4 linked regions of the Anolis sagrei genome follow. The protein of the gene in region 2 purifies or fractionates together with the protein of the main gene of each other region. This does not show direct contact. Links are inferred from orthologs where the notes say so. Each region holds a gene or a part of one and is shown on either strand. Other genes may lie near its edges. The genes, in order: CCNA1, SKP2, USP18 and FOXO3.

Region 1 (6,897 bases), on a different chromosome or scaffold from region 2:
CAAAGTGCATTCTGCTTTTGAATGCTTGCCTTTGGTATTGAAGAAATTTTATTAATGGCATCATCCCCCAACTTAGAGTCTTGCAGATAGATTGACCTAAAATAACCATTCTTTTTCACACCTAGGGATGGTGGGATTTGTTGTGCTTCACATCCATAAGACTGCAGGTTGGAGAAAAGGTTAATCAGACCTTTCTTCTAGTTGCTGCTGCTGGCCCCTTATACACTGACTGGTCAATGACGTTCGAAGGAAGCTTCAGGCTGTGGCAGCTAGACAACAAACTTCCACAAAAAGTGCAAGAAAGACAGCCCTAAATGTGCTTCAGTGCTCGGTGATTTGTGTAATCACCATCTGGGCCTCAAACTGGTTCCAGAATGGAACGCCAAAGGCCATGTGCCTTTGAACCCCTCCCAATTTATGGCAACCCCATCACAAGGGTTGTTTTTTTTTAAAAAAGCTTTGTTCAGAAGGGGCCTACCATTGCATTCTTCTGAGGTTGAGAGCATGTGACCTTCCCAAGGTCAACCATTGGGTTTCCAAGACAGTGTAGCAATTCAAACCTTGGCCTCACAGAGTCCTAGTCCAATACTTAAACTATCACTCCATTCTGGCTCTTTCATCAGTACTAGTTAAAATATATACAAATACATTAAACATTTTGTTGAGAGGCATCCTGTTTCAGTGAGAATCATAAGCATGTTATCCTAGGTGGTAAGTGGCTTCCCAAAGCTATTTCACAGCAATTAAACCTCCCAGATTCCTCAGATGGCCTTTCATGCCAAGAAAAGGATGAATTGCTTCTTGGGGTTTACAGGTTGCAAGACTGCCTTATTCAACATCCAAAGCTACTTGTTTTTCAAAACCTGGAGTAAACATTCAGCTATTTCTTACAATACTCAATTTTCAAGCAATCCCTGTGGCCCTCACGAGCAAAATACTGGGTATAGTTTGACCACAGATTCATTCAGACATACTGATAGCCATGTCAAAGGCTATCAGTAAACATATCAGGAAATTAAATAATGCCAAAACTTAAAACCGGAGCATTATATGAACTTACCTGCAGCTTCCCCCAAACTGCAAACTGGTGTCACTGACCCATCACCTGCTTCCTTCCCTCCCTTCTCAAACCAAATCCATCTGTTTGGAACCAATGGGATTAGAGTGATTTAAGGGGAATGGAGCTGAAGATCCTAAGGTTTAAGGACCTCAGGTGGAACCAGGTTTCACTGCATTTACTTCCAAATGACTACATCAAAAGATGAGGAGATATTTAAGTGTTCCCAGGAGTATGTCCTGCAGAATCCAACAGGTCATGTTTCCAAACAGTTTGCAACTCTGTTGCTTTATTTCCAGAGGTATTCCTGTTGTATTCAAATCATAAAAACATGTTTCACTTGGAAAGAATCAGAGGGGGGGAAATAGGTGCATTTACACTCCCATCCTTCCTCTAATACTCTCAATACAGCATACACGTTTATTTCTCCACCTTGCAACCTCAAAAGGTAGTTCAGGCAAAAGTCGGTCCAATTTCCCCCAGTGACTTCCATGGCTTTGTAGACACTATACACTAGGCCTGAGCAAACTTGGGCCTTCCAGGTGTTTTGGACTTAAGCTTAAGCGGCTAAAGGGGGAAAGGAAGGGGCCCGAGGCTGTTGTTATTGTAGGAGTTGAAGTCCAGAACACCTGGAAGCAGGCCCATAGCCAGGATTTCAATTCGGGAGGGGGGCTGAGTTTGTTTCGGGGGTGCGGGGAGCGAGTCTGAGTGAAAGAGGGTCTAGCCTAGCAAACCTTTTGTATCGTTTTCTAATAACCCCATGCATATGGGATATATTGAGTATGGTGATCAGATCATGATATGAATAAACATAACAGTTTAAATAATGCACCAGTAAGGCCTTTTTGCGAACCACCATGAGAATTTCGGGGGGGGGGGGGGCTGAAGCCTGGAAGCCCCATGTTTTCCCAGGTCTGCGATACACTGAGTAATGCAGTTTGGCACTTGAACTGCCATAGCTCAATGCTATAAAATCATGGGAGTTTGTCGTTCAGCAGTTTGCCTTCTTTAACAATGAGAGCCTCACCAAACTACAAACCACCAGGAATCCACAGCATTGAGCCTTGCAGTTTTCATTCACACTGTACAATTAATGCAGTTTGGCAGCATGCTCCCTGCTATGGAATCTTGGGATCTGCAGTTTGGTGAAGGACCAGCACTCAATATTGGGCAGAGAAGGTTCAAAACCTTGTAAAACTATAAGCTTCCTTTCTCCTTCCTTTCTTCCTTTTTGTCCTTCCTTCCTTCTTTCTTTCCTTCCTCCTTACCTTCCTCCCTTCTCTCTCTCTCCTTCCATCCTTTCCTTCCACCCTTTTGTCCTTCCTTCCTTCCCTCTCTCCCTCTTTCTCATTCCTTCCCTATTGTCTTCCCTTCTCTTTTTCCTTCCTCTTCCCTTCCCTTCCACCCTTTCATCTTTCCTTCCTTCCCCCTTTCCTCCCTCTCTTCTTCTTTCTCCTTCCATCCTTACCTCTCTCCCTTTCTCCTTCCTTCCTTACCTTTTGTCTTTCCTCCCTTCTTCCATCTCTCCCTCTTTCTTCCATCCTTCCCTTCCTCCCTTTCGTTCTTCCTTCCTTCTCTCTTTCCTTCCTTCCTTCCATCACCAGGCAGTCATTCCTCCTAGCAGGGAGGCCCCCAAGTTAGAAAGTTTGCCCTTGCCTGCTCTACAGGGCTAAAAAACCATAAAAGAAAAGTTTGCTCCTCCTCTTCTGCCTGGCGTTTCCCCAAAGAGCAAGTGCCCACTGGTGGGGGTCTGAGGTTGGAAGGGCTTCCCATGCTCCCCAGCAGAAGCCCCCCCCCCCCCCGCTTCCTTTCTGCCCCGCATTTCCCTGCCAAAGGAGGGAGACCCATTTCTATGACGCAGCCGCCCAGTCCCCGACCTGTTGCGTCCTTTCCAGCTGGCAGCGGAGGTTTCCCTCCTGGCCTCTCCTGTCCCAACCCAAAGCAGGCCAAGGCTCCGAAACAAAGCCGGGACTGCGAATGGCCCGTGGGGACGCCCTCCTCGCAGCCTATATAGAGGACCGGACGCCGCCTCTTCCTCCGCCGCTACTTGGAAGCCGCCCGCGACTGTCTGTTGGGGATGGCTGTTGGTTGGAGCCTCTCGCTCCTTCCTCGGCATGCGGCAGGGAAGCCCAGGGAGAGCCAGCCTAGGCCCCTTCCCGCAAGAGAAACCACCACCACAACAACGCGTGGCTCAGTCTCGTCGCGTGTCCCGAGGTCCTTTTCTCCCCGGGCACAGCCACAGACCTTGTGAAGCAACAACTCCCAGGAACCCATAGCCTTGAGCCATTGCAGTTCAAAATGAGTTGATCTTACAGGGTAGATCAATGCACCCAAGGAGGTCCTTGGCCTCCATGGGTGCATCTATATCAGGCATGGGCAAACTTGGGCCCTCCAGGTGTGTTTTGGACTTCAACTCCCACAATTCCTGGCCTCAGGCCCTTTCTGTTCCCCCCTCAACCGCTTAAGCAAGGGCAAACTTAGGCCCTCCAGGTGTGTGTTGAACTTCAACTCCCAAAATTCCTGGCCTCAGATCCTTTCTGTTCCCTCCTCAGCCGCTTAATCATAGGCAAACTTGGGCCCTCCAGGTGTGTTTTGGACTTCAACTCCAAAACACACCTGGAGGGCCCAAGTTTGCCCATGCCTGATCTATATACTGTAGAAGTAATCCAGTTTTGACACCACTGGGAACTGCCCTGGCTCAATGCTTATTTGAAACACAAGATTTGTACACAGCCAACAAAATCACTATGCTGGCTGTTGTATTGATCACACTTCCCAAGTCTCTACAACTGTGTGGTGTATCAGCCAATAATGCGTGTAGATCTGAGCCTTTTGCAGCTGACAGGTGGTAATTTTGTCAGTGCCAATTGTGTTTAAGTGCAGAACAAGGTCTTTAGGAACTGCACCCATGTGCCAATCACCACTGGGCCCACCTTGACTGGCTTGTGCCAGTAAAGTAAAGTGTTATTATTATTACTATATTTATACCCCATGGGATCCTTTGATTTGCAGTTTATTGAGGCACAAGCACTCTGGCAAAGAAGGCCTTGTCAAACTACAAATCCCAGGATTCTGTAGCCTTGAGAAGGCAACCCCAGGTCGTGACAAGCTTAGTTCACTGTGCAATATACATCACAAATGTCAAACTCAAGGCCTGCAGGTGGAATCCGGCCCGTCATGTCATTTCATGTGTCCCCCTGGATGCTGGACTACAACTCCTGTATTCCTCATCATTAGGTATCATGAGTAGAGCTGATGAGAATTGGGATACAGTGGCATCTAGAAGGCTGCAGTTTGTTCTCTTTAGTCAGGAGAGTGGGCTCTGAATTTAGATATGTGAATATGGTAGAATCACTGAGTTGGAAGAGACCTCGTGGGCCATCCAGTCCAACCCCCTGCCAAGAAGCAGGAAATCACAGTCAAAGAACACATTTCAAATAGAAATAAAGTGGACATGCACAAAAATAAACATACTTTTTCATCTTACTGTATGTTTTGTTCCATTTTGAGAAATATTTTTATTTTATTTATGGTTTGCCATTGTTAATATTTTGAGTTAGATATATACCCACATGCCTGCAACACCTTTATTAGGACTGAGGACAGTTTCACAACAGGGTGCAACCTTTTGTATTCTCCAGAACGCTTTATCTAGGATGGCAGTGGTTTGACTTATTTATTTATGAACTGTTTAAATTGACTGTTTTTAAATTAACTTCAAGTAAGCCTGGTGATGCATTCTGGAGAACTGGAAATGCCGTTCACTGTTGTGGAAGCGTCGTTAATCCTAATAAAGGTATTGCCTCCTTATAAACTGACCTGGTAGAATTAATTTGCTCATTTATATACATTTGGCATGTAGGCTATGCAAGGAAATAAAATGGTATTAAAAATCCCCAGGAGGCATTTTTCAAAGTGTGACTCAGTTCTAGGTTTTAATCCGAGAGCAGTAAAGTTTTGCCATTGTTTTCCTGTTAGTTTCAACAGAAATTAATTATGCTTTGCTTTCCGTTGGTCTCCCTCTATGTGTTTGAGAGGATACTTAAGACTCCCTGCTTGAGATTTTCAGGGCTGTTCTTTTAATGAATGTTTTATTCAAGCCTCTTGTGTTTGGAGAGGTGGTTTAAGCAGCAAGAACAACAGCTGGAGCTCCCACAGTGAGCAGGGCTAATCTATAGGTGCAGCTGGAAGCTTGAGCTCTTTGTGGTTGTTATATGTTGTCAAGCTGACTTTGATTTATGGTGAATCTATGAATGCGAGACCTCCAAGAGCCCCACTCATCAAATGTCCTGCTCAAGTCTCCTAAACTCAGGGCAGTGGCTTCTTTGGGGGCATCTACACTGTAGAATTAACACAGCTATACACCAATTGAACTGCCATGGCTCAGTTTAGTTTTATAATGCCTTTCACCAAATTACAGTTCCCAAGGCTTCACAGTACTGAATCAGGGCAGTTAAAGTTGTGTCAAACGACATTAATTCTACAGTACAGACACTCTGGAATGTGTCCAGAAGAGGGCGACGAAAATGATCAAGGGTCTGGAGAACAAGCCCTATGAGGAGCTGCTTAAAGAGCTAGGCATTCAATTGACAGATCAGTCCTGATTTGTACTAGCCCTCTGTCTGTCTGTCTCTCTCTCTCTCTCTATTTTATCTAGTTCCTTCATATTTGCTCTTCCAAGTTTTATCCTTCTTCTGGTTTCTCGACTATCTAAATTTTGATCAATGAGTGAGTCAAATTATGGAAAATCTTTCACTATTTGAGGTCTTCAATATACCCACTTCAAAGTTATGTAAAGCATCTGTGGTCATTATTTTGGTTTTTAATTTTTTTTAGCTTTAACTCTGCTTTTGAACTGCCTTCCTTAACTGCCATCAATACTCGTTCAAAGTCTTTGCTATATTCTGCAATGGGATCAACTCCATATCTTACATTTCTGGTCTTCCTTCCCTCACTTTTGATGCCACCTTCTTCTGAGTCTAATCCTGCTTTGCATGTGATCTGCTTTGACCCCATTGCCAGTGTTTCTCTATATTGTGTCATTCTAGTGGCAGTTTTGTCAGGATATAATTCTGACAAATATAATACATCAAGTCAAGCAAACTGACATTTTTATTTCTTTTAGAGCAAACCCTATGGGTGGCCTTGGATAAATTATATCTTGCAGAATCAAAGGCTTTGTTGCAATCAAAGGATTACATGCTTTATTGGCATATATATATATATATATATATATATATATATATATGGTTATGTTGATTGTTTTTAATTGCTCTTTTGTGAATGTATGGCATGGAATTGTGCTAGCCTGTAACCTGCCTTGAGTTGCCATATCGCTCAGAAAGGCAGGCTTTAAATATAGCAAATAAATAAAGGCATAGGTGATTTCCCCCCTAAAATGTAGAGGTGATTCCATTATTCAACATATGTTTGCAAAAAATAACTCTTAGTAGTTTGCCTTTTTGTTAAAAAGCAGTTTAGACATTGGTTTTTCTTGCTTCATATGTAGCAAAAGTCTTTTCTTGTAAGATTTTAAGCATCCCTTTGCATGTATAGGAGACCAGGGCAGCAGCAGCAGCAATCACTCACATCTGAGTAGGATGGTGGCCTTCCAAGCCTTGGGTCCGTAGGTGGCTGTGGAGACCTTTTCTTGACCCACATGTTATTCCACAGTGAGGACACCAGTTTCCAGATGGAAGGCGGTCCTGGTCAGGGTTGGCATGATGCACCTTCCTGTTGACGTGTTTCTTCCTTTCGCCCTCCATTTGGCCTCAGCACTGTTGGTAACAGCTGACTTCCAGTTAGAGTGTTCAAGAGCCAGGGCTTCCCAGTTCTCAGTG
Region 2 (7,405 bases):
AACAACAGCAACAACAACAACAACAAAACTAGAAAAATTGTTCCCTGCCCTAACTTTCTAACACTGCTTATTTATTTATTTGTCGTGTCAGGGCAACCAGTCAATTGTATTACATTTCTAACAGAACAAAACAAACAAACAAACAGACAAAATACAAAATTTGCGAGTTTGGAAGTAGATTAAATGTCCTTTGACCAGTATCTGGCCACTTGGAGTGCTTCTGGTGTTTCTGCAAGAAGGTCCTCCATTGTGCATGTGGCAGGGCTCAGATTGCATTGCAGCAGGTGGTCAGTGGTTTGCTCTTCTCCACACTCGCATGTCGTGGATTCCACTTTGTGGCCCCATTTCTTAAGGTTGGCTCTGCATCTCGTGGTGCCAGAGCGCAGTCTGTTCAGCGCCTTCCAAGTCGCCCAGTCGTCTGTGTGCCCAGGGGGGAGTTTCTCATTTGGTATCAGCCATTGATTGAGGTTCTGGGTTTGAGCCTGCCACTTTTGGACTCTCGCTTGCTGAGGTGTTCCAGCAAGTGTCTCTGTAGATCTTAGAAAACTATTTCTAGATTTAAGTCGTTGATGTGCTGGCTGATACCCAAACAGGGGATGAGCTGGAGATGTCTCTGCCTTGGTCCTTTCACTATTGGCTGCTACTTCCCGGCGGATGTCAGGTGGTGCAATACCAGCTTAATATCTTTCATAAATTGAAATAATTAACATGATAGGACCTCTGTCATTGGAGTTGTGCCTGATGATGCACCCATCTTTCCAGTCCGGCAGTGTCCCAACCAAAAGGCTTCCAAGGGTTCAGGCAATCCCTGAGTTATAAACATCTGACTTATAAACAACTCATAGTGAAGAACGGGGGTGAGACAAAAGGAAGGGAGAGAAATCTTCCCCTAGATGAAGAAATTTACTCCTGGAAGAGTAATCATGGGGAAAAGGTATCTCCACTGAGGCTTTATGAACAATCCTTGCTTCCACAACAAGCCCAATTTATCAAAATCCGATTATTACAGAGATAGAAAGTTAGGTGAAATCTTCTGAACAGGGGCTCAGACAGCAAGACAAACACCACAGGGATGTTAACCTTTCCCTATACTATCCAAAGATAGATAGATAGATAGATAGACTGGAGTTATACTTAAAAATGTATCTGTTTGGACTTACATAAGAACATACAGAACCTATCTTGCTGCCTGTATTGGGAAATAGTATCTGCAGGACTCTTCCAGTTATGGGACGTGTCAAGAAGAGGAAGCTGGAGAGATCCCTTGCAATGCTGCAGCAAAGGATCTAGATCAGTGGTTCTCAACCTGTGGGTCCCAAGATGTTTTGGGCTTCAACTCCCAAAATCCTAACAGCTGGTAAACTGGCTGGGATTTCTGGGAGTTATTGGCCAAAACACTTGGGGACCCACAGGTTGAGAACCACTGATCTAGATAATTAAATTGTGATGGCTATTATATGACGACTATTAAACAATTACTATTACCGTTTAAAGCAAATAAGCTCAATCACTTTATTTGTTACCATTAGTAATTAGGAATCCTGAATGTCTTTTTGCGATTCTCGATCTCACCTGCCGCCACCTCCAGGAGCCGCCTGGGTCGGCGGACAATCACAAATTCTGCCTCCTTCACTTTCTGCCGTTTTTGGGGTGGACTCACACACATCAGCAGCTCTTGGGGGGTGTTCTCGTTGCCCAGTTTATCCTTAAGGACAGAGACTCCCATGACGGACAGCAGCTCTGACGTCTTGTTGGAATGCCATCCCCATATGAAGTCCGTGTTGACATTGCTGCCCGAATCTGGAATTTCCTGGAGAAGTCTCCTACAAAGGAAGGGAAACACGGTGGTATATAGCTGGCATTTATATCGTAAGAAAGTGAAGAACAACAGAAGGAGAGAGCTACAGATATACTCTATTTCCTCAATTCTAATGGCCCTTCCAGACAGGCCCTATATCCCAGAATCTGATCCAAAGTTTTCTGTTTATCCCAGATTATCTGGCAGTGTGGACTCATATAATCCAGTTTAAAGCAGAACAACTTGGATGAGATCATGGGATATAGGGCCTGCCTAGAAGGGTCCCAAGATGCATATTTCCCCTCAGGCTGAGAAGGGTAGTATACAAATATGGTAAATAAATTACAACGCCATAAAACTCTCCAGCAGCGTGCAAAAGAATGAGGAAGTACTCCATCGGTCTCACAAGTGGATGGTGAAGTGACAGTTCCCCCCGGTGGCTGGAATTCAAAATGCATACCCTCATGAAGCTGGAGTGTTAAACAGCCTCTGTGTCTCTGTCTATATATGTTGTGTGTCTATGGCACTGAATGTTTATGTGCATTGTAATCCTTCCTGAGTCCCTTGTAGGGTGAGAAGAGCGGAATATGAATGCTGTAAATAAATAAATAATAATAATAAGTGCATTTCTTTTACAGTATAGATCAGGTAGGGGCAAATTTGGATACTCCAGGTGTTTTGGACTTCAACTCCCACAATTCCTAACAGCTGCCGGCTGTTAGGAATTGTGGGAGTTGAAGTCCAAAACACCTGGAATACCCAAATTTGCCCCTACCTGATCTACAATATATATGCACCTTAAGACATTTGGGAATTACAAACACGCTAGTCCAAACAAAAAATAAGTTTGCAATTCATAAATAACTTAATGCAAGAACATGTCCATCAAATACTACTGCACCGGATGATGGCTAAAATCCTGAAGCCAAGGGGGAGGAAAGAGGCGCGTGATCCCATCCCTTGTTTTGGGCGGGATCCACTGCGATTCCCCCTGCTCTCCACCCTAATGTAACCACTTTGCACCCATCCGCTTTTACCTGTGCATGGTGCTTGCAAATGGGGCTTTTGCATGGAGAACCAGGACCCCCCGATCCCTTTTTTCCCTCTCTTGCAACGCCAAACCCAGCAAATCTTCTCAGCAGCAGCAGCAGCCCCGGAAAACCCGCACAGCAGAAAAAGGCTCGCGCGCTTCGCCTTCCCGGGCCAACGTTCTCCCGGATCTCGCAATGGCTCCTGGGAATGGTAGTGCTTTGCAGCGGAGAAGTTACTTTTTTAAATGTTCATTTTTAAACTAATTTGGGATTCAGTTTCCCAAAAATGCAACTTATATCCAACAAATGGATATATAGAGAGATAGATATGGATATAAGATAGAAAAATATGGATATAGATATAGATAAAGAGAGAGATATAAATTGATATATAGTCAGATAGATATGGATATAGATAGATATGTATATAGATAGATATTGATATAGAGAGAAATGAATATGGAGATAGATAGCTAGATAGATATAAACAGATGTATAGAGAGATTAATATATCCCCCCCCCCCCCCTGTTGTGTCAGCTCCACTGGCTGCCGATCCAATTCCGAGCACAATTCAAAGTGCTGGCTTTGACCTACAAAACCCTGTACGGTTCCAGCCCAGTGTATTTGTCCGAACGGATCTCCCTCTACGTCCCACTTCGGAGTCTAAGATCCTTTGGGGAGGCCCTGCTCTCGACCCCACCTCTATCACAAGTGAGGTTGGCGGGTGTGAGGAGCAGGGCCTTCTCGGTGGTGGCCCCTCACCTGTGGAACTCACTTCCCGGGGAGATTGGATCGGCGAATTCCCTTCGAAAAAAATTAAAGACCTGGATGTGGGACCGGGCATTTGGACATTCTGGCAGCTAAAGAAAGACCTTGATGATGAGCAGGAATTGACGAAACGGAATGGATTTACGGAACTCTGAGCGCTGAGCATAGGATTAGTTTACTATTGTGTTAGTGTATTGTTAGAGCCCCCGGTGGCGTTAAAGCACTGAGCTGCTGAACTTGTTGATTGAAAGGTCGCAGGTTCGATTCCGGGGAGCGGCGTGAGCTACCGCTGTCAGCCCTAGCTTCTGCCAACCTAGCAGTTCGAAAACATGCAAAATGTGAGTAGATCAATAGGTACCGCTCCGGCGGGAAGGTAACGGCGCTCCATGCAGTCATGCCGGCCACATGACCTTGGAGGTGTCTACGGACAATGCTGGCTCTTCGGCTTAGAAATGGAGATGAGCACCACACCCCAGAGTCAGACATGACTGGACTTAATGTCAGGGGACTACCTTTACCTTTACCTTTAGTGTATTGTTATGTACTGATGATTTTAATTGTTAACTGTTTAAGTGCTGTTATGTATGTATGTATATTTGATATAGGCATCGAATTGTGCCTTCCTTTGTAAGCCGCCCTGAGTCCCCCCTCGGGGGTGAGAAGGGCGGGGTAAAAGTAACTGAAATAAATAAATTAATATGGATATGGATAAATATAAATAGATATATAGAGATAGATATGGATATAAATAGAGAGATATGGAGATAGATAAATATAGAAATAGATAGATAAAAAAGATATAGAGAGGTAGATATGGAAATAGAGAGATATGGATATAGATAGGTAGATAGATAGATAGATAGATAGAAATAGATATAGAGATGAATATGGATATGGATATACATAGCTATCAATAGATATAGAGAGAGATATGTAGATAGATAGATAGATAGATAGATATAGAGAGAGAGATGAATATGGATATATATAGATAGATGGATGTAGATATAAATATATAGAGATAGATATGGATATAAATAGAGAGATATGGAGATAGATAGATAGATAGATAGATATAAATAGATATATATAGAGAGATATGTAAATAGAGAGATATGGATATAGCTAGATAGCGAGATAGATATCAATAGATATATAGAGAGATATTAATATAGATAGATAGATATAAATAGATAATAGAGATAGATATGGATATAGATAGATAGATGGAGATATAAATAGATATATAGAGATAGATATGGATATAAATAGAGAGATATGGAGATAGATAGATAGAGATATATAGAGAGAGATATGGAAATAGAGAGATGTGGATATAGTTAGCTAGCTAACTAGATATCAATAGATATATAGATATGTGGATATAGATAGATAGATATCGATATAGATAGATAGATATAAATAGAAATAAATACAGATAAATGTGTATATGGATATAGAGAGAGATGGCTATAGCTAGAGAGATAGATGGATATAAATAGATAAAGATATGGATATAGAGAGATATGGAGAGATAGATGGATATAAATAGATATATAGAGATAGATATGGATATAAATGGAAAGATATGACAGTGGAACTCTCTGTCCTGCAGTGCGGTGGAGGCTCCTTCTTTGGAGGCTTTTAAACAGAGGTTGGACTGGATGGCCCACGAGGTCTCTTCCAACTCAATGATTCTATGATTCTAGATAGATAAAAAGATAGATAGAAAGATATATATAGAGAGATATGGATATAGATAGAGAGATAGATAGATAGATATCAATAGATAGAGAGAGATGGATATAGATATATCTATATAGATAGATATAGATATGGATATAGAGAGATATGGATGTAGCTAGATATATAGATGGATATAAATAGATATATAGATACAGATATGGATATAGAATCCTAGAGTTGGAAAAGACCTCATGGGCCATCCTGTCCAACCCCCTGCCAAGAAGCAGGAAAACTGCATTCAAAGCACACTCGACAGATGGTCATCCAGCCTCTGTTTAAAAGCTTCCAAAGAAGGAACCTCTACCACATTCCAGGGCAGAGAGTTCCACTCATGAACAGCTCTCATAGTCAGGAAGTTCTTCCTAATGTTCAGATGGAATCTCCTTTCTTGTAGTTTGAGATATGGATATAGAGAAATAGATAGATGGATATATATATATAGATAGATAGATAGATAGATAGCTAGATATAGATATAGATAGATAGATAGATAGATAGATAGATATAGATATGGATATGGATATAGAGAGATATGGATATGGATATAGATAGATAGGTAAGAGGTAAAGGTTGTCCCCTGACATTAAGTCCAGTCATGTGTGACTCTGGGGTGTGGTGCTCATCTCCATTTCTAAGTCAAAGAGCCAGTGTTGTCCATAGACACCTCCAAGGTCATGTGGCCGGCATGACTGCATGGAGCGCCGTTAGACAGATAGATGGACATAAATAGATATATAGAGATATAAATATGGATAGAGATATATGGATATGGATATAGATCAATAGATGGATATAAATAGAGAAAGATGGAAATGGATAGATAGGTAAATATAAATAGATATATAGAGAGACAGATATAGATATAGATAGATTCAAAGCACACTCGACAGATGGTCATCCAGCCTCTGTTTAAAAGCTTCCAAAGAAGGAGCCTCTACCACATTCCAGGACAGAGAGTTCCACTCATGAACAGCTCTCATAGGAAGATGTTTTGTAGATGGTGTTTTTCTTATTTTTTAAATTAATTTTGTATTTCCAAAAATGCAACTTAAATCCAACAAATCGAATATCTATCTATCTATCTATCTATCTATCTATCTATCTATCTATCTATCTATCTACCTTTCTACCTACCTACCTACCTACCTACCTATCTATCTATCTATCTATCTATCTATCTATCTATCTATCTATCTATCTATCTATCTATCTATCTATCTATCTCCTAGGGATTGTGGGAGTTGAAGTCCAAAACACCTGGAGGGCCCCACTTGGCCCAGGCCTGTTAAACAGATTCCTACAAGCAGAAAGACTCCAATTCCCATGCCCCCTTGCGTGAGTGGGCGGGGTTTCCCGTATGGGGCGGGGACCTTTTTCAAATCCCGGCCGGCGATTGGGCGAGGAGGAGGTTGCGTCAGAGGCGGCCGTGGCGTTGGTTGGGCGGCGGCGCAGGAGGAAGAGGCGAGCCGGCTTCGGCCTGAAGAGCAGGAAGCGCAGTGAGTGAGTGAGTGAGTGGCTTCGCTGAGGAGAGCGGCAGAGGGAGAGGGAGATGGGCGAGGCCTGCGCCCAACGGGGCTGAGTAAGTACCGCCAAGGCCTTGTTGTTTACATGCAGGGGGTGGTAGTCGGGCAAGGCCTTCTCTGCCGAAGAGGCCGATGCCTCAGCAAACGTCAACACCTAGGATTCCCTGACTGAGGCTGTAGCACTCAGTAGTATGTGTAGATGCCCTCACTGTCTCGAAAATGCTACCAGATCTGTTTGTATATTGATATTACAGACTAACGTGGCCATGTTTTGGTAAATTACATCCCAGGGCCTTTCCACACAGCCATATAACCCAGAATATCAAGGCAGAATAACCCACAATATCTGTTTTGAACTGGAATATCTGAAGCCCCTTCCACACAGCTGAATAAAAGCCCACATTATCTGCTTTGAACTGGAATATATGTCAATGTGGACTCAGGGCCCTTCCACACAGCTGTATATCTGGCCCAGCTTACCTGTCCGAATTTATCTCTCCTTATGAACCATCCAAGACCCTAAGAGCTTCTGGGGAGG
Region 3 (7,855 bases), on a different chromosome or scaffold from region 2:
TGATTATATTATAGACCAATTGGCATAGATACAAAGAGGATTTCCTGGTCAATATTCCAAGCAGATTTCAACATCGCAATATTTTATTGCAATGTTTGTTATTATATTGTTTCCCTTTATTCTTCCTTGTTTACATTTGTTACCATTTTGATAAGGGAATCAGCTGACTTGCTTGTTTGGGCTATTACTTTATGGATTCATTTAGTAATTGCAAAGTACCAGGAAAGCATCTGACATTTTGCCAAAATATAACATATATAGTTACCTGGAAAATAGACATTTAAACTGTACATAAAATGCTTGGATAAATTACATTTGAAGCAATGGAAAGAAAGCCATTAAACCAAAGGTCTCATGCTCCCAAGATTAAAACTAAGTGTTGTTAAAGGCTTTCATAGCCGGAATCACTGTGTTGTTGTGAATTTTCTGAGCTGTATGGCCATGTTCCAGAAGCATTCTCTCCTGACATTATGCCTGCATCTTTGGCAGGCATCCTCAAAGGTTGTGAGGTATGTTGGAAAGTAGGAAACTATATCCACAGATATATAAACCCCATTTTCCTAGTTTCCAACAGACCTCACAACCTCTGAGGATGCCTGCCATAGATGTAGGCAAAACGTCAGGAGAGAATGCTGCTGGAACATGGCAGCTTAAGCAGCTGAGGGGGGAAAGGAAGGGGCCTGAGGCTGTTAGGAATGGTGGGATTTGGAGTCCCAAACACCTAGAGGGCTCAAGTTTGCCCATGCCTGATCTACACTGTAGAATTAACACAGTTTGATGCCACTTTGACTGCCATGCCTCAATGCTATCAAATCCTGGGAATTGTACTTTGGTGAGGCATCTAACTTCTTTGGCAGAGAAGACTAAAAACCTTGAAAAACAACAACTCCCAGGATTCTGTGGCATGGCAGTTAAACTGATGTCAAACTGCAGATACACCCATATCCACATATATAACATGGGAGTCAGTTGCATCATCTCTCCGGGAATTTAAAGGCAATGCATTTAGAAGTGAGGATGCATTTGAAGGACCAATGTTGCAAAAAATATAAACACAATGTGGATCCAATGATGCCCAACCCAGAAAAAAAGGGATTCAAAGGGTACATCTACACTGCAGGATGAATGCAGTTTGAGAGCACTTCAACTATCCATGGCTCAATGTATTTTCGAAGGCTTTCATAGCTGGAATCACTGAGTTGTTGTGAGTTTTCTGGTCTGTATGGCCATGTTCCAGAAACATTCTCTCCTGACATTTCGCCTGCATCTATGGCAGGCATCCTTAGAGGTTGTGAGGTCCTTGGCAGCCACCTCTCCACAAAAGCCAACATTGACACTGAAATAAAACACCGCCAGAGCTCTGCGAGTGCAGCATTTTTCCGAATGAAGCAGAGTGTTTGAGAACTGGGACATCCGTAGGGAGACTAAGCTGCTGGTTTACAAAGCTATTGTCCTCCCAACCCTGCTATACGCCTGTGAGACGTGAACTGTCTACAGATGTCACACTCAACTCCTAGAACGATTCTATCAACACTGCCTCCGGAAAATCCTGCAAAACTCTTGGAAAGACAGGAGGACAAGTATCAGTGTGCTGGAAGAAGCAAAGACCACCAGCATTGAAGCGATGCTCCTACACCATCAACTCTGCTGGAGTGGCCATGTTGTCCAAATGCCCAATCACCATCTCTCAAAGCAGTTACTATATTCCCAACTCAAGAACGGAAAATGTAATGTTGGTGGACAGGAAAAGAGATTTAAAGATGGGCTGAAAGCCAGCCTTAAAAACTGTGGCACAGACAGCAAGAACTGGGAAGTCCTGGCCCTTGAGTGCTCTAACTGGAGGTCAGCTGTGACCAGCAGTGCTGCAGAATTCGAAGAGGCACGAATGGAGGGCAAAAGGGAGAAACGTGCCAAGAGGAAGGCGTGTCAAGCCAACCCTAATCAACTCTGGCATAGACACTGAGAACTGGGAAGCCCTGGCCCTTGAGTACTCTAACTGGAGGTCAGCTGTGACCAGCAGTGCTGCAGAATTCAAAGAGGCACAAATGGAGGGCAAAAGGGAGAAACGTGCCAAGAGGAAGGCGTGTCAAGCCAACCCTAATCAACTCTGGCATAGACACTGAGAACTGGGAAGCCCTGGCCCTTGAGTACTCTAACTGGAGGTCAGCTGTGACCAGCAGTGCTGCAGAATTCAAAGAGGCACAAATGGAGGGCAAAAGGGAGAAACGTGCCAAGAGGAAGGTGCGTCAAGCCAACCTTAACCGGGACCACTTTCAACCTGGAAACCGATGTTCTCACTGCGGGAGAACATGTGGGTCAAGAATAGGGCTCCACAGCCACCTACAGACCCACCGACTTGGAGGACCATCATCCTTGGGCTATGAGGGATCACCTAATGTGGGTCAAGAATAAGGCTCCACAGCCACCGACTTGGAGGACCATCATCCTTTGACTATGAGGACTCACCTAAATAAGTAAATAAGTGTGTAAATAAGTTTGGGCTGTATGGCCATGTTCCAGAAGCATTCTCTCCTGATGTTTCGTCCGCATCTATGGCAGGCATTGTGAGGTCCATGGCTCAATGTTATGGAATCCTGGGAGTTGTAGTCTTACCTGGTCTTTAGCCTTCCCTGCTGATGGAGTTTGGAGAAAATAGACTTTGACATACTTGCTGGGATTTATAGTTCACCTACAATTAAAGAGTCCTGGTGCCCCACCAAACTTCAATTCCGAGGATCCCAGAGCATGGAACTAAGTCTTGCCTGAGTGCAATAACTCTACAGTACTGTAGATCAACCCCAAAAGGCCAGGTTGGAGAAGGATGGCTTGGAAGGTAACTTACGGTGATGGAGGAGGAGGAGGAGGGCTCAACCTTTCCCGGCTGCTTGGTCTCCACTCCGCTCGACTGTGCGTCCACACTAGCGACAGGGAAACTTCCGATCCTGGCGCGGTCGGCTCCCTTTTTGACAGCTGTGCGTCACTTCTAGAGGGCAGCACCGAGCAGACGGCCATGAGTTTTGATTTCCCGCTGAAGGGCGGCTCGCTTTAGAAAGTGAAACTTAACCAGCTTCGTTTCCAAAGCGCCTCCGCCTCCTCGTTCTCCTCCACCTTCCTTTCCTACCTATGCAGCCCAAGGACTCTGCTCTCTTAGGTGCCTCTACACCAGTGTTTCTCAGTCTTCCTAATGCTGCGACCCCTTAATACAGTTCCTCATGTTGTGGTAACCCCCAACCATAACATTATTTTTGTTGCTACTTCAGAACTGTAATGTTACTATTGTTATGAATACTCAATATGCCCAAATGTGAACACTGATGGAGTTTGGAGAAAATAGACTTTGACATTTGGGAGTTGTAGTTGCTGGGATTTATAGTTCACCTACAATCAAAGAGCATTCTGAACTCCATCAATGACGGAATTGGACCAAACTTGGCACACAGAACTTCCATGGCATGAATACTCAATATGCCCAAATGTGAACACTGATGGAGTTTGGGGAAAATAGACTTTGACATTTGGGAGTTGTAGTTGCTGGGATTTATAGTTCACCTACAATCAAAGAGCATTCTGAACTCCACCAACGATGGAATTGAACCAAACTTGGCACACTGAACTCCTGTGACCAACAGAAAATACTAGAAGGGTTTGGTAGGCATTGAGCTTGAGTTTTGGAATTATAGTTCACCTACATCCAAAGAGCATTGTGGACTCAAACAACAATGGATCTGGACCAAATTTGGCACAAATACTCAATATGCCCAAATGTGAACACTTATAGAGTTTGGCGAAAATAGACTTTGACATTTGGGAGTTGTAGTTTCTGGAATTTATAGTTCACCTACAATCAAAGAGCACTATTTTCCTACTGCCCTCTACCTTTCCAAGCATTACTTTCTTTTCTAGTGACTATTACTTTCCTAGTATATGGCCAAGCACAACAGTTTCACTTTAGCCATCTGGACTTCTAAGGAGAGTTCAGACTTCATTTCCTCTAGGACAGTGGTTCTCAACCTCCCTAATGTCATGACCCCTTAATATAGTTCCTCGTGTTGTGTTGACCCCCAACCATAACATTATTTTTTTTGTTACTTCAGAACTGTAATATTGCTATTGTTATGAATTGTCATGTAAATACCTGGCATGCAGGATGTATTTTCATTCACTGGACCAAATTTGGCACAAATACCCAATACGGCCATATTTGAATACTGGTGGGATTGATTTTGTCATTTGAGAGTTATAGTTGCTAGGATTTATAGTTCACCTTCAATCAAAGCACATTCTGAACCCCACCAACGATGGAATTGAACCAAACTTGGCACACAGAACTCCCATGAACAAGAGAGAATACTGGAATAGTTTGGTGGGCATTGAGCTTGAGTTTGGGAGTTGTAGTTCACCTACATCCAGAGAGCACTGTGGATTCAAACAATGATGGATTTGGACCAAACTTGGCACAAATACTCAATATGCCCAAATGTGAACACTGGTGGAGTTTAGGGAAAATAGGGCTTGACATTTGGGAGTTGTAGTTTCTGGGATGTATAGTTCACCTACAATCAAAGAGCATTCTGAACCCCACAAATGATAGAGTTGGGCCAAACTTTCCACACAGAACCCCCATGATGAACAGAACATCCAGTGTTTTCTGATGGTCTTTGATGACCCCTGACACTTCCTCACAAACCCCCAGTTGAGAAACCCTGTTCTACACTATTTGTCATGGCTCCTTGCATCCCAAGTCACACTTTCAAGTATTTATGTAAAGTGCTTTGATCAGTGCCAGCAGTCTGGGCTCCATATTGATATCAGTTAATTTCCTCCATAACGTCTCTCTATTTACAGTATCAAATGCCTCACTAAGGTTTATAAAGGCAGCATATAGTTCTCCCTGCTGCATTTTTTTGTTTCTCCAAAACCCTCTTCCTGCAATTTTGCCACATCATCTGTGGAGCCTCACATATGAAATTCCCTTCGCTATGTGCATTAGATTTCATGTCCCTCCCCACGTACATCCTTTTGGCTTAGGTTTACGTCTCCCCTTCTTTCCTGATGTGTCACAGCCAAGAAATGAAACTTAAGAGAAGGAAATGTGTGCTTTTCTCATGCCCCAACCCTAGATTGCTGAAGGCTCTCACCATGGAAAACCAGAAGAAGGTCATCCTTCATGTGTGTCAGGGCCAGATGACAGTTGGATAAGGTAAACACGTTTACTGTGAACTGGGATGCATCCGTGCTGTAGAATTAATGCAGTTTAGCATCACTTTAACTGCCAAGCTAAAAGCTCTGGAATCCTGGGATTTGTGTTTTGGTGAAGCACCGGATCTTGCAAAACTACAACTTCCATGATTTCATAGCATTCCATACAGGCATGGCAGTTCAAGTAGAATCAAACTGCATTAATTCTACAGTATAGATGCAACCTAAGACATTTAAATTACACTACATAACACTTTTTTTGCTCCTAGGTTATAAATGTAATTTCCTAATTGTTTGTATCCTGAAAGCATGGAAAAAGTTTACAAAACTTATCCTGCAGCACATTTTGCTATCGTTTTTCAATTAATATCTGTGTCTCAAGCAATGCAACATAGTTTGGCAGCCACAAAAATGAAGTTTCTGGAGTATAACTACTTTCTTTTTTTTTTTTTGAAGTTTAAAATAATCTTTATTAGTTTTAGTTAAAAAAAAAGTATACGGTATCTAATCGGGTAAGTATAAGAAGGTGGGGACAAAAGATGGGGATAGAGGGGGAATGATAGTATAGAGGGGGGTAGAGTGGGGGAGATGCTTTTGGTAGTTGTTCAGAATAAAGGGTGTGCCAGGTGTAGAAAAAGAAATTAAGGAGGTCACTGTGAGGGAAAAGAGGGTGTGTGATAGGTGTATATCTGACATTGACTTCCCGGTATCTTCTGGAGGTTCTTCCTCTTCCTTCGCTCCTTCTTTCTTCCAAACTACTCCTCTCTCTTCTCTCTTCTGCTCTCCCCCTTTTGTTTTGCTTGCCACTTTTTCATATGATTATTTTCATATTTTTTTTCTTCTATCAAGTATGTTGTTACTTGTTTCCAGTCAGTTTCTACTGATGGAGTGCCCCCTTTTTTTGAAAGTATGTAAGTTAATTTGTCCATATTTCTTATATCCAGGATCTTTGTTAGCCATTCTTCTTCTCCCGGGGGTTCTTTTTCCTTCCAATGCTTTGCATATATTATTCTGGCCGCAGTTGTTAAGAGAAATAGAATTTTGTCCTTATTCTTCTCCATTTTTATATCATGGATCCCTAGTAGGAATGTTTCTGGTTTTAGGGGTATATTTATCTTTAAATTTTTTTGTAATGATTTTTGTATACTTTTCCAATATGTTATTGCTTTTGGGCATGTCCACCATAGGTGGTAATATGTCCCTTCATGTTTTCTGCATTTCCAGCATTTTGTATTCGTATTTTTTTTGAATTTCCCTATCTTATGTGGTGTTATATACCACCTATATGCTATATGCTAAATTGGTTTAAGATAGCATATAGGGAGTATAACTACTTTCAAAGTAACTACTGCACAATTAAATGGGAATAACCGTTTCAAACCAGGAAACGTTTGTTTTCATTTTTTGTTACATAGTGTTATTTAAGGATAGTATTCAGCACCCTGAGTATCTCCTTTAAAGTTTGGACGTGAAGGCCAATGCAGATTCAGTGCCTTATTGACACCAACCACTAATATGTGGTTGCCACTACAGTAGGCATCTCTTCTCCTTGATATAAAACCGTCAAAATAGTTTTAAGGCACATTAAGGCTCCTTCTGTTTATTTTCAGCAATCAGTCCTGTTAGCTTGCCATTTCTGACTATGAACCAAGCTTACTGTGCCCTCAAAATCCACTAAAACGGAGCCTTCTGGTTCAAATGTTTCTCCTAGAAGCGTCTATTACAGGCACGGGCAAACTTGGGCCCTCCAGGTGTTTTGGACTTCAATTCCCACAATTCCTAGCAGCCGATAGGCTGTTAGGAATGATGGGAGCTGAAGTCCAAAACACCTGGAGGGCCCAAGTTTGCCCGTGCCTGTTCTATCGAATGGTACCTGGTGCAAAAGAAAAGTGCAGTAGGCCCTCCATATCCATAGATCCTGTATTGGAAATAGCAACCTTCTCAAGCCTCCACTAGTTATTTGTTATGTAAATAATTGCTTACTGTATTGTGTGTGTGTGTGTTGGTTTGCAGTTTTCCGTAATTCTTTTGTTGTGGGAGGGGCTGCAGACCATGTGATCAGATCTGGGCTTGTTCAGGACTCAGACTCCATTTTAGCACAGTTCGGTTTAGACTTCAGTAGAAAAGTAGGCGTTTAAGGAGACAGTAGGAACAGGTATGCTTAGAGACTTCAGTAGGAACTGTACACTTAGAGACTCCATTGGACTTTCAGACTAGAAACAGAGACTCTATTAGACTTTCAGAACAGAGAGATGGTTTGGACTTTGGACTGTTGATTATGAGAAAGATGTCCTGTGTTACCTACAGAGAAACTACTTCAAATTATATTTCTAACTGGAATAATATGCAAAGTACCTGTATAGCAAATGCCACTGTGTGTAATACTAAAGAATTTTCAACCCAGGGTCTAATTTGTTGTACCAGAACTGCACAGGGTGCACTTTCCTTCTAAACATTTAAATAAGAAGCCCACTCTTTGTTAACCCATTCATTGTTTTTATATGTTTGTTTATATGGCATAGAATTGTTGCCAATTTGTAAGCCGCTCTGAGTCCCCTTTGGAGTGGGAGAGGACAGGGTAGAAATATAGTAAATACATAAATAAATAAGTCAATTTTCATGTTTCTTTCCTAAAAGATACCAGCACTGAGACCCT
Region 4 (7,922 bases), on a different chromosome or scaffold from region 2:
ACTGTAATTTTGCTACTGTTATGAATTGTCATATAAATTTCTGATAAGCAGGATGTATTTTCAATCATACCTGATATGCCCAAATTTTAATACTGGTGGGGTTGGAGAGGGGGTTGATTTTGTCATTTCGGAATTGTAGTTGCTGGGATTTATAGTTCACCTACAATCAAAGAGCATTCTGAATTCCACCAACGATGGAATTGAACCAACCTTGGCACACAGAACCAAAAGAAAATACTGGAAGGGTTTGGTGGGCATTGACCTTGAGTTTTGAAATTGTAGTTCACCTACATCCAGAGAGCACTGTGGACTCAAACAGATAGATCTGGACCAAACTTGGCACACAGACCCAACATGGCCAACTGTGAATACTGCTGGGATTTGGGGAGGATTGACCTGCGATTTTGGGATTTGTAATTTACCCACATTATTATGCATTTTCTAATGGGAGCATTAATAAAAACAAAAGGAAAGATTGACTTTCCCCCCTAATAAATAGCCTTACAAATTACCTAAGCCTCTTCTGCTGCTGCTCCTCCTGATGCTGCTGGGCCACTCTCAGTCCCATGTTGCACAGGTGCTTTCCATGTCTTGAAGGGACTCGCTGGCGTGAACCTCCCTCCAACCTCGTGTGCTCTCTTGCCTGAGCATGCGCACCACACTGCCATGTGCCGAGCATGCCTGCTCTTCCCTCCCTGCTTCTAGTCTCAGAAACAACCCTCTCCTTGGCTGAGAGGCCAGCCAATCACAGCAGAAGGAGGGCTTTTGATGGGAGGATTTCCCATCTGTTTCCAAAAAGGAAGAGAAGGACAGGCGGTGAGATCTTCAGCCTTTTCTGCCAAAGAAGTTCCTAAGACCATCAGAAATATGTGTTTTCTGATGGTCCCACCCAACTCCCAAGTAGAGAAACGCTGGACTAAAGAGTCCACGGCCAGGCCAGTTGGCTTTTGTCTCTGCATATGGCATCTTGTACTTTGCCTCAGGAAGCAAAATATATTGGGCGGTCCTGCTTTAAATATTCTTATGACAAAACACCAATTTTCACTTAAAAGTGAAGTCAGTCTGGGCATTAGCTGAAAATTCTCCCCTGGTAGTCAGTTAAGGGCATGATGTATCTTAATGGAATGCTGGATAAAATGAACTCTTTATCTGTTTGAACTTCATGTTGACTTTTTCACAGTCACTGTTTAAACAAAGTATAATTTACACAGAGAACTTAAAATGAAACCCTACCTTTGTGTGTGTGTGTAAATAAAAACTGTGTTAAATTAAATTACACTGCACCAGCTATAAAAATTTGCAACTCTATTGTTTTTAGTTTAAGCATTTGGCTTGTTTTTGAAATGTTCAGAAATCATCGTCAGAAGAAAATGCTCATGCCACAATAATCCCACAAAGAACAGTGAAATTATAAATAAGCCATACAGAAAATGTACAGTCTAGTTCTACACATATAAGGAAGTCCTACTATATTCATTTGAGGGCATTTCTTTGTCTTTTTTGTATATAGAAGTGTAGCATTTAAAAACAATATTATTTACTCATTATTACCTGCATTTAGAAAACCTAAGGTTATATGTATGCAGCAGCCACGATATTGGAACCACTTTTTAAAGATTGCTGAGGTTTTGCTATCTAGAATAAACAATGACGAAAGTTTCTTTGTCAAACATACAGTTTTGAAAGTGGGCCAAAACACACAAATAATGTTGCAACTTTACAGTATTATTTAGTTAAAGTTCCCAAGAAAGAAAGGTCAAGCCCCATATTTTAATGGATTATAGTCACTGAACAATCACAGTAAAGATTATTGTCAGTATAAGATCCTTCTATATCCCATCTGGTTCACTGGTATATCTGATCAAGATGAACTGGGACATATTTTCAATAGCTAAGAGGCAAGTTATGCATTTTGAGGCCTAAATACCCTAAAGACACCAGATCCTGCCTGATCTTGGAAGCTAAGCAGGATCATTGCTGGTTAGTTCCTAGGTGAAAGATTACCAACAAATGGCAGGTGCTAGAGACTATATTTAGAGGAAGGAACAGGCAAAACATATTTGAGTATTATTCCTTTCCTCAGAAAATCATATTAAATTCATGTGGTTGCTGTAACTCAGCACACACACACGTTATGTATCCATGTATATATTCTTGTTTATGCCTGTTCCAGTAGTCAGTAATCTTTAGATTTTGGACTTCAACATGAATTTGTTAACCAGGAAGATTGAAGTAGACTTTCCTTCAAACTCTTTTTTCAAGAATGAGTGGGTACCCCCAAAAACTGTACTCACCTCATATGTGTGACTATCCTGATACAAGATGTTACATCAGGCACAGCCAAATGATGGCCCTCCAGGTGTTTTGGACTTCAACTCCCACAATTCCTAACAGCTGGTACCGGCTGTTAGGAATTGTGGGAGTTGAAGTCCAAAACACCTGGAGGGCCATCGTTTGCCCATGCCTGTGTTAGATGTTTGTGATTACTTGCATGCCACATTCTGGCTGAAGATACAAATTAGTTCTGAAGTTTTTTCATGTGGCTGTCTCCTCTAGGTCTATGCGGCTCTGGAAAATACAGGATGAACAATGTGTTTTCTTCTTCTCAGGTGTAGACAGGCCCATAGTTGAAATCTTATTACAGGACTTTCTCTGCAGGGAGAGGCGAGCATCTGAGGAAGCAGGCTTAGGATCTTTCTCCCAGGCTCTAAGGTGCCACAAGATCCTTTCACTTATTGCATGGCAGGGGGTTGGACTAGATGGACCATGTGGTCTCTTACAACTCTATTATTCTATGATTCTGTGACTAATATTCCAAATGAATATGGTTCTAGGCAAGTCCAAACTTGTTCACCCACTCAACTAAATGTAAGGCCAGAATAATTGCCCAGGCTGTTGCAGTGATAATAGAAACATCCAACTACACTATTACTTTTTGGTTTTGTTTTTAAAAATGTTGTTTTCCTAACCCATGCACATTTTGTAACAAAACAACAGAGCTGAAAACATTGGTCCAATGTTCTAGTATGTGAAAAAGTAGTCAGCGTGTACCTTAGCTTCTGTGCATTTAAAACAGAATTGTGATTTGTGGGTAATAGATTTGTGGGTGATAGAGAAGAGCAAAAGAAGCTAAAACTCTACTACTTCTTTCCACCTGATGCCAAGGAAGCTGTCCTAACCCTAAACCACTGCCTGTCATCAGTAATGGACTGGACGAGGGCAAACAAATTGAAACTTAATCCAGACAAGATAGAGGTACTCCAGGTCAGTCAGATCAGGGAATAGGGATTCAGCCAATGCTGGATGGGGTTACACTCCCCTGAAGACAGGTCCACAGTTTGTGGGTCCTCCTGGACTTGATATTGAATGTGGAGGCCCAGGTATTGGCAGTGTTCAGGAGGGCCTTTGCACAATTAAAACTTGTGTGCCAACAGTACCCATTCCTTGAGAAGCCCAATCTGGCCACAGTGGTACATGCTTTAGTTACACCCTGTCTGGATTATTATAATGTGCTCTACACAGGGATGCCTCCCTCTATGACCCAACTCGGAGGTTAAAATCACTGGGGGAGATCCTGCTCTCAGTCCCACCCTCCTCACAAGTGCGACTGGTGGTGATGAGATAAATTGCCTTCTCAGTGGTGGCTCCATGGCTGTGGAACTCTCTCCCCAGTGAAATTAGATCTGCTCCATCTCACCTGACCATCACGAAAAAAACCCCCTGAAAACTTGGTTCTGGGATCAGGCTTTCAACCAGTAACAGGAGTAGTGCAATATGAGACTACAAATTAATATAATGATCACTTGGACCGGACCTGGAATACGATTTGGATCATGTGATTTTAATTGATGTTTTAATGCTATGTTTTTAATGGGTTTGGTTTTAAAGTTTTTGTTTATTTACCACTGTATTCATATATGGCATTGAACTGTTGCCTTTGTAAGGCCGCCCTTCGGGGTTGAGAAAGGTGGGATATAAATGTGATAAATAAAAATAAGTAAGAGTGCTCAGAAACTTTGGCTGGTCCAGGTTACTCACTGGGGCTGACTACAGGGAGCAGACAACCTTCTTGTTGCAGCAGCTTCAATGACTGCCAGCCTGTTTCCGGGCACAATTGAAAGTGCTGGTTATGACCTTCAAAGCCCTAATGGTTCAGGTCTAGGCTATTTGACTAATTGAATCCCCTTATACAAACCTGCCCAGGCCCTGGGATCGTCAGGAGACGCCCTTCTCTCAGTCCCACTTCCAATCTCAAGCTTGGTTGGTGGGAGCAAGAGCTGTGGCCCAGTCTGTGTTCTGTGTGTGTATATTTGTGTATATGTGTATATATGTGGTTTAGCACATACATTGTAATGTATTTTTTTATTTTTTTGGCTTTTAAAGTCTCTTCTGCTGTGTTTTTCCGTGTTTTAATGAGTGATTGTCTCTTGTTGACCTGACAGGTGTATTGTGTCCAAATTTGGTGTCAATTCGCCCAGTGGTTTTTGAGTTCTGTTAATCCCACAAATGAACATTACATTTTTACTTATATAGATTGTCGTACATGTTCATGGCCGGAATCACTGGGTTGCTGTAAGTCTTTCGGACTGTATGGCCATGTTCCAGAAGCATTCTCTCCTCACCTCACAACCTCTGAGGATGCCTGCCATAGATGAGGAGAAACGTCAGGAGAGAATGCTTCTGGAACATGCCCATGGAGCCCGAAAGACTTACAGCAACCCAAAATATTCGTTTAGGGGTGCCTTTGTTTACTGCACACTTCGCCTGCATTGTTTCAGACCTTGATCCGATTTCAGGAGGGACGCCACGAGCGCGACTCCTGGTAGCCCCGCCTCTCTCTAGCCCCGCCTCCTTCCCCCGCCTCCCGGCGCTGGCCCCTCCCAGGCGGCAGGCAAGAGGCGGTCGAGTGGGCGTGGCTTGGCGAGAGCCAGCGGGTTAGGTTGAGCCTGGCTGCGTGTGCCTATAACTTTGTGTTGCCGCTCCTGGTTGTTAGGAGAAGGAATGCGGGCGCCAGCAGAGCGGAGCGCGAGCCGGGAAGGAGGAGGAGGCTGCTGCTGCTGCTCGCGCGGGCTGCAGCAGGCACGAGACCCGCTTCCGCTGCTGCTGCTGGTGCTGTTCCTTCAGCAGGCGCATCTCTGGAGGAATCGGGATCGGGCTGCTTCTAGGACGGCTTCCCCTTTGGAAGCCTGAAGCGGAGCCAGCTGCAGAGAAAACAGGAGCTCCGGCACCCCCTTCCCTTCCTGGGATTTCTCTCCAGCTTGGACCGAGCCACGCTTGTTTCCTTGCTTCTTTTCTCCTGGAGTGCGAAAGGGAAGGGAAGAAGGAAAGGGAAGAAGGGGAGCTCTGTCAAGATGGCAGCAGCAGCAGCAGCGAGGAGAAGAAGGAGGAGGTTATGAATGCGGTGCCGCCGTGGGTGCAGCAGGGAGAAAACCTTGCAAAGGAGGAAGAGAAAGAGGAGGAGGAGGAGGACTTCGGGGCTTCCTCTCTCTTTCCGGACCTGTTGGGGGAAAAGACCCGCTGCTGCTTGGGACCCTCGGCCGCTTTCCCTCTCTTCTCTCCCCGAAAGAGGATTGGAGGGCAAGGAGAACCACTGAGCTCCCTCTCTGGCGTATTTTTTGTCCGTTCCTCCGTTCCTCCCCCCTCCCTCTTCTGGAGTATTGGCATTTCTTCCGATTTTTCAGGGCGGAGGAAGGAGGAGCGAGGTTGGGACCCTCGTCCGCTTTCCTTCCCTTTCTCTCTCTCTCCCCGAAAGAGGATTTGAGGGCAAAGAGAACAGCGTATTTTTTTTTGTTAGTTCCTTTCTTTTCCCTCCTTTTTTCCCCTCTCCCTTTTTTTTAGTATTGGCATTTCCCCCCATTTTTTCAGGGCGGAGGAAGGAGCTGCTGCTGCTGCAGGGCGCGATGGTGTGCCTTTGAACCAGCTTTTGGAGAAGGAGGAGGAGAAAGAGAAGAAGACCCTTCTTGCCTTTTTCTGCCCCTAGTCTGTGATGTGGGCAATGGGGCCGGGGTCCCTCGGCTGCCATTGGAGGAATCCGGCGCCACGGAGTGAAAGATAAACAAACACACGGTTTGCTGCCTTTGCGCGTGAGAGAGAGAGAGATCCCGCTTGCAAGTCCGTCCCAGTCTCGCTTTTGGAGGAGGAGGAGGAGGAGGAGGAAGGACTCCCCTGGCGGAGGGGCTGCTGCTTTCTTTCTTTCGTCCCCAACCAGGAGAGGGGGGAAAGGGACCGCACTCGAGAGGGAAGGGGCTTCTTTTTCTCCCTTCGCTTTTCCAACTGCCCGTCCCATTGCTTTTGAGGGAGGAGGACTGGGCTGAGGAGCATCCTTCTTTCTTCTCAAGGAAGGAAAAAAGGAGAGCGGAGGGCTGCTTTTTCCTTCCTCGCCTCCTCTGTGGAGATTTCGATTTTCCAGTTGTTTTTTTTCCCATTGAAAAAAGGGGCGACTGAAGTGGTATTTAGTCGTTTTTCTCCTCCCTTTCTTAACGTGGGGCCTCGGATTGTGGGATAGAAGCCTTTTTCATCCTTCAAGCAGTGAAAAGACATCTTTTTCCCTCACTTGGGACCTTTGACTGTGGGATCGAGGTTTTTTTCTTCCTTCCACCACCACCTTTCTCGGGTGTTTCTTTCCATTGCTATTCAAGCCGGAGGAGCTTGAATGGAGAGTGGCGCGTTCTTCGCCCGGCCTCGGTGATCCTTCTCTTGCTGTCTCTCTCTGAGAGTCCAGCGCGGGCTCTTTCTTTCCTTCCTTCCTTTCTCTCTCTCTCTCTCTTCGGGCCGCTCCCCCTGGGCAAGGATGGCCGAGGCGTCTCCGGCGTCGCCGCTGGACGTGGAGCTGGACCCGGACTTCGAGCCCCAGAGCCGCCCGCGGTCCTGCACGTGGCCCCTGCAGAGGCCCGAGCTGCAGGGCCAGCCCGGGGCGGGAGGCGGTGCGGGAGGGGGCGACGCCATGATCCCCGAGGAGAAGGACGACGACGAGGAGGAGGACGAGGAGCCCGCGGGGCCCGCGGCGGGGAGCGAGGACTCTCCCACGGCGGCCACTCTCCCGCAGGGCGCCTTTCCCCCGGGCCCCAGTAAGCAGCCCCAGCAGCAGCAGCCCTCCTCTCCTCAGGCAGCAGCGCCGCCCCTGCCGCCCCCTCCGCCCCAGGCCCCGCGGAAGTGCTCCTCCCGGAGGAACGCGTGGGGCAACCTGTCCTACGCGGACCTCATCACCCGCGCCATCGAGAGCGCGCCCGAGAAGCGCCTCACCCTCGCCCAGATCTACGAGTGGATGGTGCGCTGCGTGCCCTACTTCAAGGACAAGGGAGACAGCAACAGCTCCGCCGGGTGGAAGGTGAGCGCGCCCGCGAGGGAGGGGGTAGGGGAGGGAGCAAAGGTCCCGCGCGCCCAGGCACTCCCTCGCTCGCGCCACACACTCACACAATGGACCTCTGGGCGCGAGGGCGGCAGGTAGCCAGGCAGGCAATTGGGCGCGTGACGAGCCCCCTTCTTCTTCTTCTTCTGCCCGGGGGGGGGGGGGGAGATTGTTTCCCACTCCGAACCCTCCAATCAGCGCTCCAGGAAAGAGCGGGAAAAACAGCCACGCGTTTAAAGATCCCCCCCCGCTCCCCCCGTCTCTCGTGCTCTTGAGTATGAGGCTATTATCTATAGATGTATATATATAGAAAAGAATATGAGGGAAAGAGAGATGTATACAGAGCAAGCATTGGCCAACTTGGGCCCTCCCTCCAGATGTTTTGGACTTCAACTTCCACCATTCCTAACAGCTTCGGGCCCCATCTCCCCCATCAGAGGAATGGTGAGAGTTAGAGTCCAAAACACCTGGAGGGAGGGCCCAAGTTTGTCCATGCCTGATATAGAGGGAGTGGCTGTGAGGGATACATCTCTGTCTATAGAAAGAGAGGGAGTCAATGAGGGGATATATTATA

What was found.
Region 1: the proteins of SKP2 (region 2) and CCNA1 purify together in Homo sapiens (affinity purification with western blotting; 4 studies listed by BioGRID). This does not show direct contact. The link is inferred for Anolis sagrei from reciprocal best matches to the Homo sapiens genes SKP2 and CCNA1.
Region 3: the proteins of SKP2 (region 2) and USP18 purify together in Homo sapiens (affinity purification with western blotting; 4 studies listed by BioGRID and IntAct, with this or other methods). This does not show direct contact. The link is inferred for Anolis sagrei from reciprocal best matches to the Homo sapiens genes SKP2 and USP18.
Region 4: the proteins of SKP2 (region 2) and FOXO3 purify together in Homo sapiens (affinity purification with western blotting; 3 studies listed by BioGRID). This does not show direct contact. The link is inferred for Anolis sagrei from reciprocal best matches to the Homo sapiens genes SKP2 and FOXO3.

What each region holds. Positions count from the first base shown.
Region 1 is NC_090023.1:35,422,328-35,429,224, reverse strand, and holds the start of CCNA1 (cyclin-A1), read right to left. Parts: upstream 3,005-6,897; 5' UTR 2,935-3,004; intron 1-2,934. UniProt on the Homo sapiens protein: May be involved in the control of the cell cycle at the G1/S (start) and G2/M (mitosis) transitions. May primarily function in the control of the germline meiotic cell cycle and additionally in the control of mitotic cell cycle in some somatic cells.
Region 2 is NC_090022.1:279,560,743-279,568,147, forward strand, and holds the start of SKP2 (S-phase kinase-associated protein 2), read right to left. Parts: upstream 3,022-7,405; 5' UTR 2,844-3,021; coding exon 2,836-2,843; intron 1,824-2,835; coding exon 1,573-1,823; intron 1-1,572. UniProt on the Homo sapiens protein: Substrate recognition component of a SCF (SKP1-CUL1-F-box protein) E3 ubiquitin-protein ligase complex which mediates the ubiquitination and subsequent proteasomal degradation of target proteins involved in cell cycle progression, signal transduction and transcription.
Region 3 is NC_090025.1:180,571,963-180,579,817, reverse strand, and holds the start of USP18 (ubl carboxyl-terminal hydrolase 18), read right to left. Parts: upstream 3,012-7,855; 5' UTR 2,843-3,011; intron 1-2,842. UniProt on the Homo sapiens protein: Interferon-induced ISG15-specific protease that plays a crucial role for maintaining a proper balance of ISG15-conjugated proteins in cells. Regulates protein ISGylation by efficiently cleaving ISG15 conjugates linked via isopeptide bonds.
Region 4 is NC_090021.1:94,338,715-94,346,636, reverse strand, and holds the start of FOXO3 (forkhead box protein O3), read left to right. Parts: upstream 1-4,918; 5' UTR 4,919-6,790; coding exon 6,791-7,327; intron 7,328-7,922. UniProt on the Homo sapiens protein: Transcriptional activator that recognizes and binds to the DNA sequence 5'-[AG]TAAA[TC]A-3' and regulates different processes, such as apoptosis and autophagy.